3 linked regions of the Macaca mulatta genome follow. The protein of the gene in region 3 interacts with the protein of the main gene of each other region in a pairwise test. Links are inferred from orthologs where the notes say so. Each region holds a gene or a part of one and is shown on either strand. Other genes may lie near its edges.

The links.
Region 1: the proteins of EEIG1 (region 3) and SKAP1 interact in binary tests that used the Homo sapiens proteins (3 or more experiments, as listed by UniProt). The two-hybrid records come from large-scale screens. The link is inferred for Macaca mulatta from reciprocal best matches to the Homo sapiens genes EEIG1 and SKAP1.
Region 2: the proteins of EEIG1 (region 3) and SH3GL1 interact in binary tests that used the Homo sapiens proteins (3 or more experiments, as listed by UniProt). The two-hybrid records come from large-scale screens. The link is inferred for Macaca mulatta from reciprocal best matches to the Homo sapiens genes EEIG1 and SH3GL1.

Annotation. Positions count from the first base shown.
Region 1 is NC_133421.1:61,581,127-61,585,398, reverse strand, and holds the start of SKAP1 (src kinase-associated phosphoprotein 1), read right to left. Parts: upstream 2,816-4,272; 5' UTR 2,709-2,815; coding exon 2,369-2,708; intron 1-2,368. UniProt on the Homo sapiens protein: Positively regulates T-cell receptor signaling by enhancing the MAP kinase pathway. Required for optimal conjugation between T-cells and antigen-presenting cells by promoting the clustering of integrin ITGAL on the surface of T-cells.
Region 2 is NC_133424.1:5,192,370-5,195,396, reverse strand, and holds part of SH3GL1 (endophilin-A2), read left to right. Parts: coding exon of another isoform or gene 1-42; coding exon 43-186; intron 187-866; exon of another isoform or gene 867-1,438; coding exon 1,439-1,572; intron 1,573-1,770; coding exon 1,771-1,929; intron 1,930-2,147; coding exon 2,148-2,251; intron 2,252-2,891; coding exon 2,892-3,016; intron 3,017-3,027. UniProt on the Homo sapiens protein: Implicated in endocytosis. May recruit other proteins to membranes with high curvature.
Region 3 is NC_133420.1:19,748,317-19,751,962, reverse strand, and holds part of EEIG1 (early estrogen-induced gene 1 protein), read right to left. Parts: intron 2,344-3,646; coding exon 2,297-2,343; intron 2,155-2,296; coding exon 2,000-2,154; coding exon of another isoform or gene 1,965-1,999; intron 1-1,964. UniProt on the Homo sapiens protein: Key component of TNFSF11/RANKL- and TNF-induced osteoclastogenesis pathways, thereby mediates bone resorption in pathological bone loss conditions.

The sequences.
Region 1 (4,272 bases), on a different chromosome or scaffold from region 3:
ATAAACAAATAAATGCTTAAGTTATAGCTGTGATGTCCAGTGTTAAATCACTGTGCCAATGCTTATGCCTTGGTTTATGAAAGTAGTAATTCATTATGGAAATTCCACCCCCACAGCCATGTGGCAGCACTAGAGTTGCAGCCCTCACATCCTGTGTTTCCCTCCCACAGAGTGACTATATAGAGATCAGGACCTCCATTTTTTCTAATTGTCAACAGTTACCCTTAAAAAGTGTGTGGTGGGGGAGACAAATAGCAACAAACAACAAATTGATGGCCATTGTGGGCTTCTAATATCGACAGATTATTTGTAACACAATGAATAATGCTCCCGGTCTACACCAGGGACTATGTTCCATAAGAAATAAAACTTGTAACCAATATGTTGCTATTATTATTACAGGAACCTTTCAAAAACATATTCTTCAAACATTTTTCATTAGAATCACTGGATGAATCACACTACATTTTTTTCTCTACTTCAGTTCAAGTTCTAATTGCAAACTAAAAAAAAAAAAAAGCCTTAAAGAAATACATTAACCAACGAAGCTCCTTATAATTTGGTTTCAGACTCCTCCATATATTTTAAAGACCTGAGCACCAACAGAGATTGTTAAGACACAGCAAGCTTGATACAGAAGTATGTGACATGCAATTAATCTCCATTCATACCCTGCTCTACTTGTCAGCAAACAAAGGTTCTGCTTTAGAAGGAGATCTGAAGACTTCAATTAAAAACAGTCAGCTAACAAGAAAATAATCTAAGCTAAAGGAAGGTGGCAGGTGCAGAAATGAGTTGTTTACCAAAGTGTCAGTTTTGAACAATAAAGAACTGCACATCAAAAATGCTGAAGGAATGGATTTCATTGCAAGCCTCTGAAAATAAAAAGGAATTTTCTACCAAGGCTAGACACAAAACTGAAGTATAGTTTAACAAGCTTATAAAATAGGTTTCCTCTCATCAAATGACAGATACCAATAAAAAGAACCACTTTATATCTTTCAATGCAAGGGCAGAGTTAAACTTTTCGCCACAGTTCTTTCTCTCCTAGAAACCAAAGACAATTACAGCCTTCCTTCACAAGCCTAATATTAAACCAACAACAGAGGGAAAGGCTGGATTGCTTCTTCTTAGACACTTAGATAATGCTCCTTTACCCTGCAAATAGTTTTCCACCCCCAAAATTTAGATTTATTCTGATCATAAGTAAAATGGATTTTGGAAACCTCACCTCAAAAGAAATATCTAGTTGACAGCTTTTACATAGAAGCAATCCAGAATGGAAACAGTGCTACCAACAGAGACCAAAAGGACTTGCCAAATATTTGATTAGGAGGCATTTATACCGAGATAACAAGGTAATGGAGATATAAAACCAATTAAATTGAGAGAAACTGAAAAAAAAAAATACTGCTTGCCAAAAGTGTGACCTGCCCAAAGCAGGCCATCTGTTAAATATGTGTCAAATACGTCAACTTAGATGCCAAAAGGCTTAATTCTGAATAGTTTTCTCCTGGAACCCTTATGCAACTGCAGATTCCAGGCCTCTGTCCTCTCTGGAAGGTTAGTTACAGGAAAGCAAGTAAAAGTGACTTTCACCATGAAACCCAGCAGATGAAACTGCCCTTTAGCAACGTCTCTGAGACATCTCTCTGGAGTGTCGGCAGTGTGTGCTGAGTGTTGATGGGGATGGCCGGAACTCTTTAAACCATCGCTTAGACACTGTAGTCGGAAGGTGAACACACCACAATGGGGGCACTTCTAGAAAAGGAGGAAATCCCATACTGAGAATGAGCCTGCCTTGGGGTGGGTGAGACCCCCTAGACGTCCGCAGGGTGATAAAGGGAGGGCTGGGGTTTTCGCACTGACAAAAACTCACGTCAACCACCTGGCCTTGGCCCATGGGGATCCCATGAGCCCCTCGCAGCCCCCTGGAGAGCCTCGCGGACCTCTAAGCAGGAAGGTTTGGGGTCTTCTGTGACAGGTGAGGAAGTCGTGTCTGGGGAAGGAGGGGGACGGGAAACCCTACAGATGTAGAGCAGTTATTCGGAGAAAGGGACAGGTCGAAGACCAGGCAAGGTGGCATGGGAGACCAAGAACCTGGCCTGAGGACTTTAGAAGCCGGGGAGGTGAAGTGGAGGCCTGGAGGTGCCTCAAGGAAAAGGAAGATGTGGGACTCCAGGGAGTGAAAGGGGCCCTGAGTTGAGAGGATGGAAAGATGGCTCTGGGGAGCTGAGGCCTCTAGAAGCCTTAAGGTTCTAGAAGGAGGTGAGTGAGGAAGCTGAAAAGAAAGCCTGGCTGTGGGAGGCCTGGAGTCGCCTTTCTGCCTTCGGCTCAGCACTTAAGGGGGCTTGCGCCAGGGCGTTACCTTCCAGGAGCCAACGGATCTCCTCAGGGAGGCCGGCGGCCTGCATTTGGCTGGGCGGGAGAGAGACCGGTGTGCGAGGCGGGAGGGGGCGCGGGCCCTGGTCGCGAGGCGGACCGGCTGGAAGGCGACCCGGCTGCGCCGCGAGGCACCTGTACCTCAGCCGCGGTCGCCGCCCGCCCAGCCCGGCCGCGGGGCGGGGCTGTGGGTCCCGGGGCGCTTCAGGAAGTGGCGCGGGCGACAGGCGGGGACCCGGGAAGGGGCGCGGGGTGTGGGCGCACGTGGCGCTCACGCCCGGGGCCCCGCGGTAGAAGGATTGGGGGTGCCAGAAGCACCGCACCATGCGAGGCCAAAGGTGCGCCCCTCCAGCACCCACCAAAACAGAAGACTTCAAAAGGCTCAAAGGACCCACGGCTTTGAAGACTCCATCCTAAGCACCGAACAGATGAACTCACGGTGGCAGATTTGAAAGACCGCGGGGTGCCTGAAGTAGGGTGCCGAGAGGCAGAATCCAATTCCCGTCAAGCATAGCACCTCTCAATTGCCTGTCCAGTTCACATCTCCATCTCCAGAAAAGAGGGCAAAACTTCGCTCTTAGGGAAGCCACAATGTTGAAAGGAAATGATTAATTCCCAATAAGCAATATAAGGACACCACCATTTGGGAGAATCGCGGCAGCGTGGCAGCAAGGGACACAGGAAACCGAACTGTGCTGTTCTCCCTCAGGCTGGAAAGGCCCTGAGGAAAGTAAGGGGTAACTCAGGGAGAAAGCTGAGGGAGAGGAGAACAGAGCCCTTTCCCTCCAAGAGCTGCGGAAGGGAGGAAAGTGAAGGACAAAATCACAGTCTCATTCAAGGGACACTTGGTGTCAGTCTCCTGGTTGTAACATGGTACTGTAATATTACCAGATGTTACCCTTGGGGGAAACTGGGTAAAGATAGACGAAATTCCTCTATTATTATTTCATCTTATTATTATTATTTCTTAAACTCTCTGTGAATCTACAATTCTCTCAAAATGAAGAGGTTTTTTAAAGTACAATAGGTCCACTGCCATGAAAAAGGTATAAAGTGCTACGGTTGATAAAAGAAGGGAGTTGAATACAAGAAAAGGAGGGAAGAGGCCAGGCATTGTGGCTCACACCTGTAATCACAGCACTTTGGGAGGCTGAGGCAGGAGAATCACTTGAGCACAGGAGTCTGAGGTTACAGCCAACTATGATCACCCTAGTGTACTGCAGCCTGGGCAACAGAGCAAGACCCTGTCTCTTAAAAAAGCAAAAAAAAAAAAAAAAAAAAGGAAGTGCCAGTATGCTTGTGAGTGTTCAAAGGTGCATGTGGTGTTTGAGATGGGCTCTGAAAAACACACCAGACTTTGAAGGGGCAGGAGGACTTTCCAGGTGGAAGGACCAGAGTAAAGAAAGAAGGAAGAGCCCTTACCAGCTTGAGGACTAGTTAGTAGCCCTCTTTTACTGGATGTTGTAGGAAGACTATGGTTGTCAAGATAAACTGCAGCTCTACTGTTAAGGGAATTGAAAGTCAGAATAGGAAAGTTGAACTTAATTGAGTGGGCACTGGGGAGCCATTGACAATTTTTTAGATTGGGAATGACCTAACGGGAGCTCCGGTATAGTATGTGGCCTCACACATCTCCACCTCTGCTGTTTTCCTTCTTAGTAAAAAGTGGCGTTTCTATTCTCAGACTCAACCTACAGAATATGTAGAAAAGATTAGGAGTGGTAAGAAAAGACACAAGGAAAGTGGGTAAAATGGTTTTTACAACAGCTATAAGGGGAATAATGATGGACTCAACCTAGGAGATGGGGCAAGAGCAGTAAAAAGAAATCGTTGAGAAGGATGAGTGGTATAAGTGCCTGCCTCCTTGTACTGTTTCCCATCCAGAGATAC
Region 2 (3,027 bases), on a different chromosome or scaffold from region 3:
GCAGGCCTCGCAGCCCACACCTACCTGGCCATCCTATCCCAGCCTCGCGGGCTAAGCTGACCATGCTCAACACGGTGTCCAAGATCCGGGGCCAGGTGAAGAACCCCGGCTACCCACAGTCGGAGGGGCTCCTGGGCGAGTGCATGATCCGCCACGGGAAGGAGCTGGGCGGCGAGTCCAACTTTGGTGAGTGGTGCTCTCTGGAAGCCACGCCCACCCTCCCTGGAGGCCACGCCTCAACACAGGCAGGGCAGGTGCAGGTCCAGGTCCAGCCGATGGGGCCCTTTCCTGTAGCTCCAGACCTTCCCCAGCTCAAGCCAGCTGGTTCCCCAGAGTCTGGACGCGCCGCCCCCCCCCCCCCCCCCCCCCCCGCCAGCATCTATCCTTCCACCACCTTCAGCCTGTTAAGGGCAAACCTAGGCCCTTTTAGGAGCGTGGGGAGGGGGCTGGTTTAACATCCAGTATTGATTGGGATTTTAGGATCCTTTGTTTTGTTCTGAGTTCCAATTTCCAGGCCCTTGGCCTGGAGTGTGGGGGCTGTTAGAAGTTGGGATGGGGCTGAGTGCAGTGACTCATGCCTGTAATCCCAACACTCTGGGAGGCCAAGGCAGGTGGATCACCTGAGGTTGGGAATTCAAGACCAGCCTGACCAATATAGAGAAACCCCACCCTGCCTCTACTAAAAAAACATATATATATATATATATATATATATATATATGTATATATGTGTATACATATATATGTGTATATATATACATATATATGTGTGTATATATATATATATGATATAATTAGCCGGGTGTGGTAGCGCATGCCTGTAACCCCAGCTACTCAGGAGGCTGAGGCAGGAGAATCACTTGAACCCAGGAGGTGGAGGTTGCAGTAGCCCAGATTGTACTATCGCACTCCAGCCTGGGCTACAAGAGCTAAACTCCATCTAAAAGAAAAAAAAAGGCTGGGCGCGGTGGCTTACACCTGTAATCCCAGAACTTTGGGAGGCCGAGGCGAGTGGATCACGAGGTCAGGAGTTGGAGCCCAGCCTGGTCAATATGGTGAAACCTCATCTCTACTAAAAATACAAAAATTAGCTGGGTGTGGTGGTGCACACCTGTAATCCCACCTACTCAGGAGGCTGAGACAGGAGAATCACTTGAACCTGGGAGGCAGAGGTTTGAGTGAGCAGAGATCGCGCCACTGCACTAAGTGGCGCGAGACTTCGTCTCAAAAAAAGACGTTGGAAAGGATCCGGGTGTGGTGGTGCACGCCTGTGGCCCCAGCTACTTGGGAGGCTGAGGTGCCAGCATGGCTTGAGCCCAGTTCGAGGCTGCAGTGAGCTGGGACAGCGCCACTGTGTTCCAGCCTGCGAAACCCTGTTTCAAAAACAAAGGCTGAGGAGTGTCTTAGTCCAGTGGTCTCAGGCCCGGCTTCTCCCCAGGCGACGCATTGCTGGATGCCGGCGAATCCATGAAGCGCCTGGCAGAGGTGAAGGACTCCCTGGACATAGAGGTCAAGCAGAACTTCATTGACCCCCTCCAGAACCTGTGTGAGAAAGACCTGAAGGAGATCCAGGTGCTGCTGCTGCGCCAGCCCAGGGCCTATCCCTTCCCCCTGCTGGATGGGGCAGCCCCATTCCTGCCACCCTTGGCACTGCCCTCTGGGTCGCGGGCAGGTGGGATCCCCAGTGGTGCAGGGACAGTGGGTCAGGGCCATGCATCGGGCAGGTCTCTGGCCGCTGCTGGCCTGACCCATGTCCCCCACTATCTCCAGCACCACCTGAAGAAGCTGGAGGGCCGCCGCCTGGACTTTGACTACAAGAAGAAGCGGCAGGGCAAGATCCCTGATGAGGAGCTACGCCAGGCACTGGAGAAGTTCGAGGAGTCCAAGGAGGTGGCAGAAACCAGCATGCACAACCTCCTGGAGACCGACGTGAGTAGCTGGGGCTGCCACGTCCTGACAAGCCCCATGCCCTTGGGAGGCCGGAGGCGGCAGTGACCTGGCCTCTGCAGCAGGGGAGGTTGAGGGTACAGGCCCCAGTCCCCTGTCCCCTTTCGGCCCCCTTGCCTCCTGTGGCTTCACCTCGTGAGTCAGGGAAGGCACAGGACAGTGGTGCTGGCAGGAGCCCCTGAGCCCTGTTGTCCCCACAGATCGAGCAGGTGAGTCAGCTCTCGGCCCTGGTGGACGCACAGCTGGACTACCACCGGCAGGCCGTGCAGATCCTGGATGAGCTGGCCGAGAAGCTCAAGCGCAGGTGAGCCTGGGCTGCCATGGGCCTCTGCCAGCACGCGTGGGCAGCACACCTCACTCTGGGGTGAGCGCATGGCATGGCAGAGCAGCATCCTGGATTCTTCCTGGGGACCAAGTGGAATGGCCTGGGGGGCCACAAGGTTGAAGGAGGAGGAACCCGGTCTGTGAGAACTCTGAGTCAACACGCAGCCCTGCCCCAGATGCAGGCCCTGGCGACTCCTAACCACGTGCCTGTTCCTTCCCTGGCTGCACTTTCTGCTGCCACAGGAACACCCAGGCTCCCTTCCCTGAACAGAGGCCAGACCTGCTTTGGGGGCCTAGGCATGTGTCAGGCACCAGCTGTGGTAGGGAATGGGGGGTGGAGGTGGGGGGATGCGACTGGGGGCGTTGTAGGTAGAGGCCGTGGCAGGACCCAGCTGCTTGGCAGTCTCTGAGATGGCTCCAAGGTGGGGGTCCAGGCTGGAGGCCCTCTGGGTAGACATCCCAGTCTAGCTGTGTCCCAGGGTCCATGTGTCACGACCCCACTGACAGCCTCTTCCTGCAGTCCTAGGCTAGGTTACTAGGCAGCAGCATAAATACAGGGGTGGGGCTGCCTCAGCGGTGACACTCACGGGCTCGGGCCACTCACATCTCTCCCTTCACAGGATGCGGGAAGCTTCGTCACGCCCCAGGCGGGAGTATAAGCCCAAGCCCCGGGAGCCCTTTGACCTCGGAGAGCCTGAGCAGTCCAACGGGGGCTTCCCCTGCACCACAGCCCCCAAGATCGCAGGTAACCGGACA
Region 3 (3,646 bases):
CTGGCCCAGTCTGAGGACAGGGAAGGCTTCTCCAAGGAGATGGCCTTAATGGCAGACCTCCAGGACATATCGCTGGAGGGAGCCAGCTAAGGCCTCAGGAGGGCAAGGGCCTTCCAGGCACAGAGAACAGCATTGGCAGAGGCCCCGAGGCTGGAAGGGGCCTGGGTCAGCAGAGTTGGAGTGGAAGGGACAGGGTGAAGGGGAGCAGGCTGGCCCAAAGGGACAGGCCCACAGTCCTGTCCCAAGTTACCCATAAGTCCAACTTCAAAACAGATTTTCCTGGCACTCCCCAACAGGAGGCATAAGGGACCAGGTGGGACCTACCCAGGGCTCTGAGTACCCACCCGCCCTCCTGCCCAACACACCCCAGGCTGGCCTGTGATACCCCAGGCTGGCCTGTGTGCCCATCCATAACTATGTGGCTTTTCAAGTCCCCAACAGGTTCTCTGCATATGGGGTGAGCCCAGCTCCAGAGGCAAGTGGGCACTCAAGTCCCACCCTGCCTGGGGGAGGGGCCTCTTCTACTTCACACGAAGGTACCACCTGCGCTGGGGTGGTCTGATCCCCAGATACATGTCTCTTCTGGGGACTCCCATCCAGGGGCTGGAGAGAGTAATTGTGCTGGGAAGCCCCCAGCTTTCTGTTCCGGGCCTCAGCTGGCTGGGTCTGCAGGGGAAGAGGGAGTGAAGGAAGGCCAGACCCTTGAGGTCAGAGGGTCCCTCACCGCTCCCAGTTCACAGAGGCAGAATCACTTGGCAAGCATCTGCTGGGCCACACGAGGCCTGTGCTCTAACTGATTCTGTGGGACAATCAGGGTTGCCACCTGATGCCTTGTTCACTAATCACCTGGGGGTGGTCCAAGGCTCATACCTCTGGGGGCCCTGCTTAGGGTTGAGGGGGCCCAGCAAACAAACACCTGGGGGCAGGCCAGAGCCTCCTGTCCGGGCAGCACCCCCTCCTCCTAATTGCCACGCCATCTCCTCTGGGGGTTGGGGCTCTTTCACATTTTTCATAACATTATTACCAGTGATAATTTAATAAAAACAGAGTGCCCGGCCAGGCGTGGTGGCTCACGCCTGTAATCCCAGCATTTTGGGAGGCCGAGGCAGACAGATCACGAGACCAGGACAGCAAGACCATCCTGGCTACCATCCTGGCTAATACGGTGAAATCCTGTCTCTACTAAAAATACAAAAAAAAAAAAAAAAAATTAGCTGGGCATGGTGGTGCTCGCCTGTAGTCCCAGCTACTCCGGAGGCTGAGGCAGGAGAAATGCTTGAACCCGGGAGGCGGAGGTTGCAGTGAGCCGAGATTGCACCACTGCACTCCAGCCTAGTGACAGAGTGAGACTCTGTCTAAAAAAACAAAAACAAAAACCAGAGTGCCCACTGAGTGCTTACCATGTGCGGGGCAGGTGCCCACATGTGGACAGTTAATCCCCAAAGTGACCTGGGATGTAACTGCTATTACCAATCCCATTTTCCAGAGAACACCGAGACAGGGAGAGGCAAACTGGCCAGTCAAGGTCATAGAGCACGTGGGAGAGCAAGAGGTCCCAGCACGTCCCTCTGCCAGGTATACTGTGCCTCACCCTCCGAATGCAGCTCAGACACCACATCCTCAGGGAAGCCTTCCCTGGCCCCGGATGGATCCCACCTTCTGGGCCTGTCTTCCCCAGCTCTTACCCTGTTTGCAGGTAGACATGCATGTCATTTACCTATGACTTGGCTGAGGCCTGTTTCTCCTGCTAGACTGCAGGGCCATGAGGATGGGGAGGCCACATCAGTCTCAGTCCAGGGCACTGCTGTGATCTCAGGGCCCAGCAGCATAGCCAGCACACACAAGGTACTCAGATGTCATCAGCCCAGCAGGAGCATGCAAACACCCTCCCACCATCACCTTCCCCTCAGTCAGCATCTCCCTGGGGACCTGGGCATGACATGGAGGTAAAGCCCTTGGGCCACTAGCAGGGGAGGCGCGGGCAGATGAGGAACTGTACCTGAGCTGAGAATGGTGGGCCGGGCCTTGGGGGCCCGGGACCCAGTCAAGGAGTTGGTGCTGCTGCCACCACTGCTGGTCCCGCCACCCTTACATGTCAGCTGCAGGGAGGAATCCTGGCCTGGGATGGAGATGGACTTGGCAGTAGATGGTGGCCTTGGGAAGACAGACAGGTGTGACTAGGGTGCCCCGCTTCAGGACCAGACGAAAACGGAGGACACCAAGAGTCCCTGTTCCTCCACCCCCAGTGCCCAGGACTGGGCTCCCATCCGCCCCCTAGGCCTGTGCCAGCACTCACGTCTTGAAGCAGGGGTCTCCAGAGAGCAGGAACATACCAATGGTGACCTGTGGCAAGGGGAGCAATCAGCCATGCCCTGGCCACCCACAGCCCGCCCAGGAGCAAGGCCCCCTGCAGCCTTTCGGCTCTGGCCTCAGAAGGGCTTGGACTCCAGTCCTGTCTCTCTGCCCCCTTCTGGCTTGGGGGCTCTGGCAAAGCCACCTAACCTCTTTGAGCCCAGTTTCCCTGTGTGGAGGACAGAGATGGTACCAAGGCCTGCCTGGCAGACCAGAGGGGAGGGCATAGCAAGGTGAGGCCTGGGCTTAGCCCTGCGCCTGGCAGAGTGAGCGGACTGCAGTCAGCTACAGGCCTAGACAGTGAGCTTCTCCAGGGTGGAGTCACACACTCACCCCCGGCCCTGTGTAAGGAGTACAGAGCTTAACCCAGCAGGCAGGAGAGGGAAGAGGGCTCATGGGGCCTGGCACAGCAGGTGGCGGGCAGGGTTTGGTGAAAGTCTGATGAATAAAGCATGAAGTCATTGCAAACTTAAGAGCCCAAATGTGGCAACATTTGGATCCTAAAATCTAGGCTGAGATGGAGTGACAGGCAAAGGATGAGCAGGTGGGAAAGAGGGGCACAGATGCTGGGGCCACCACTTATGAAAGGGTGACCACTAGGTTGATGCTTTCTATGGCTTATTCACTCGGCCATGAAAGCAGCCTAGCCCCAGGCTGTTGATGAGGGAACCAAGACTCAGAGAGGGGAAGTGACTCCCAAGACCCTGCAGACAGGACGTGGGGGAGTTGCCCTTGAACCCAAGGCTACCTGGCCCCCAGGCTCCCTTGATCTGGCCTGAGGTGCACAGGGCTACTGTGGGCTGTGCTTTTCAGCCTGACTGAGGCTGAAAGGCTCCGGCTCCCAAGATAGTCTGGACCCTTTCTGGCATCTCCGGTTCCCTCTGCGAAGGGTCTAGGAGGCCCCAGAGTCCCTGCTCACCACCTCCTGCCCAGCTCTGCTCCAGATACAATAGGCTCTCCCTGGGTCCCCTTGCAGAGGTGCTGTTTGGACAGCCTGTTTTCCTGGCCAGGTGGAAGGTGTGGAAACAGAGGAAGAGAGGTGTGCTGATGATGGACACCCAGACATTTCTGTTCCCAAAAGGCCAACAAGGCAGCTGCCTGGGGGTGGGGATGCCCTGGCTATTGGAAACCTGCCCATGCCTGCCCCAGAGCCCTCAGCAGCCATCGTTTTCGCTGATAATCCACTAGGGGCCAGGCTACCTACCGCCTGTCACTTGGGGCAGGATTAGGAGCTGGGCCAAGAAGTCAACTGGCTGGGGGTCAGATGCCAGCTCTGTCTGTGACTCCAGGTAAA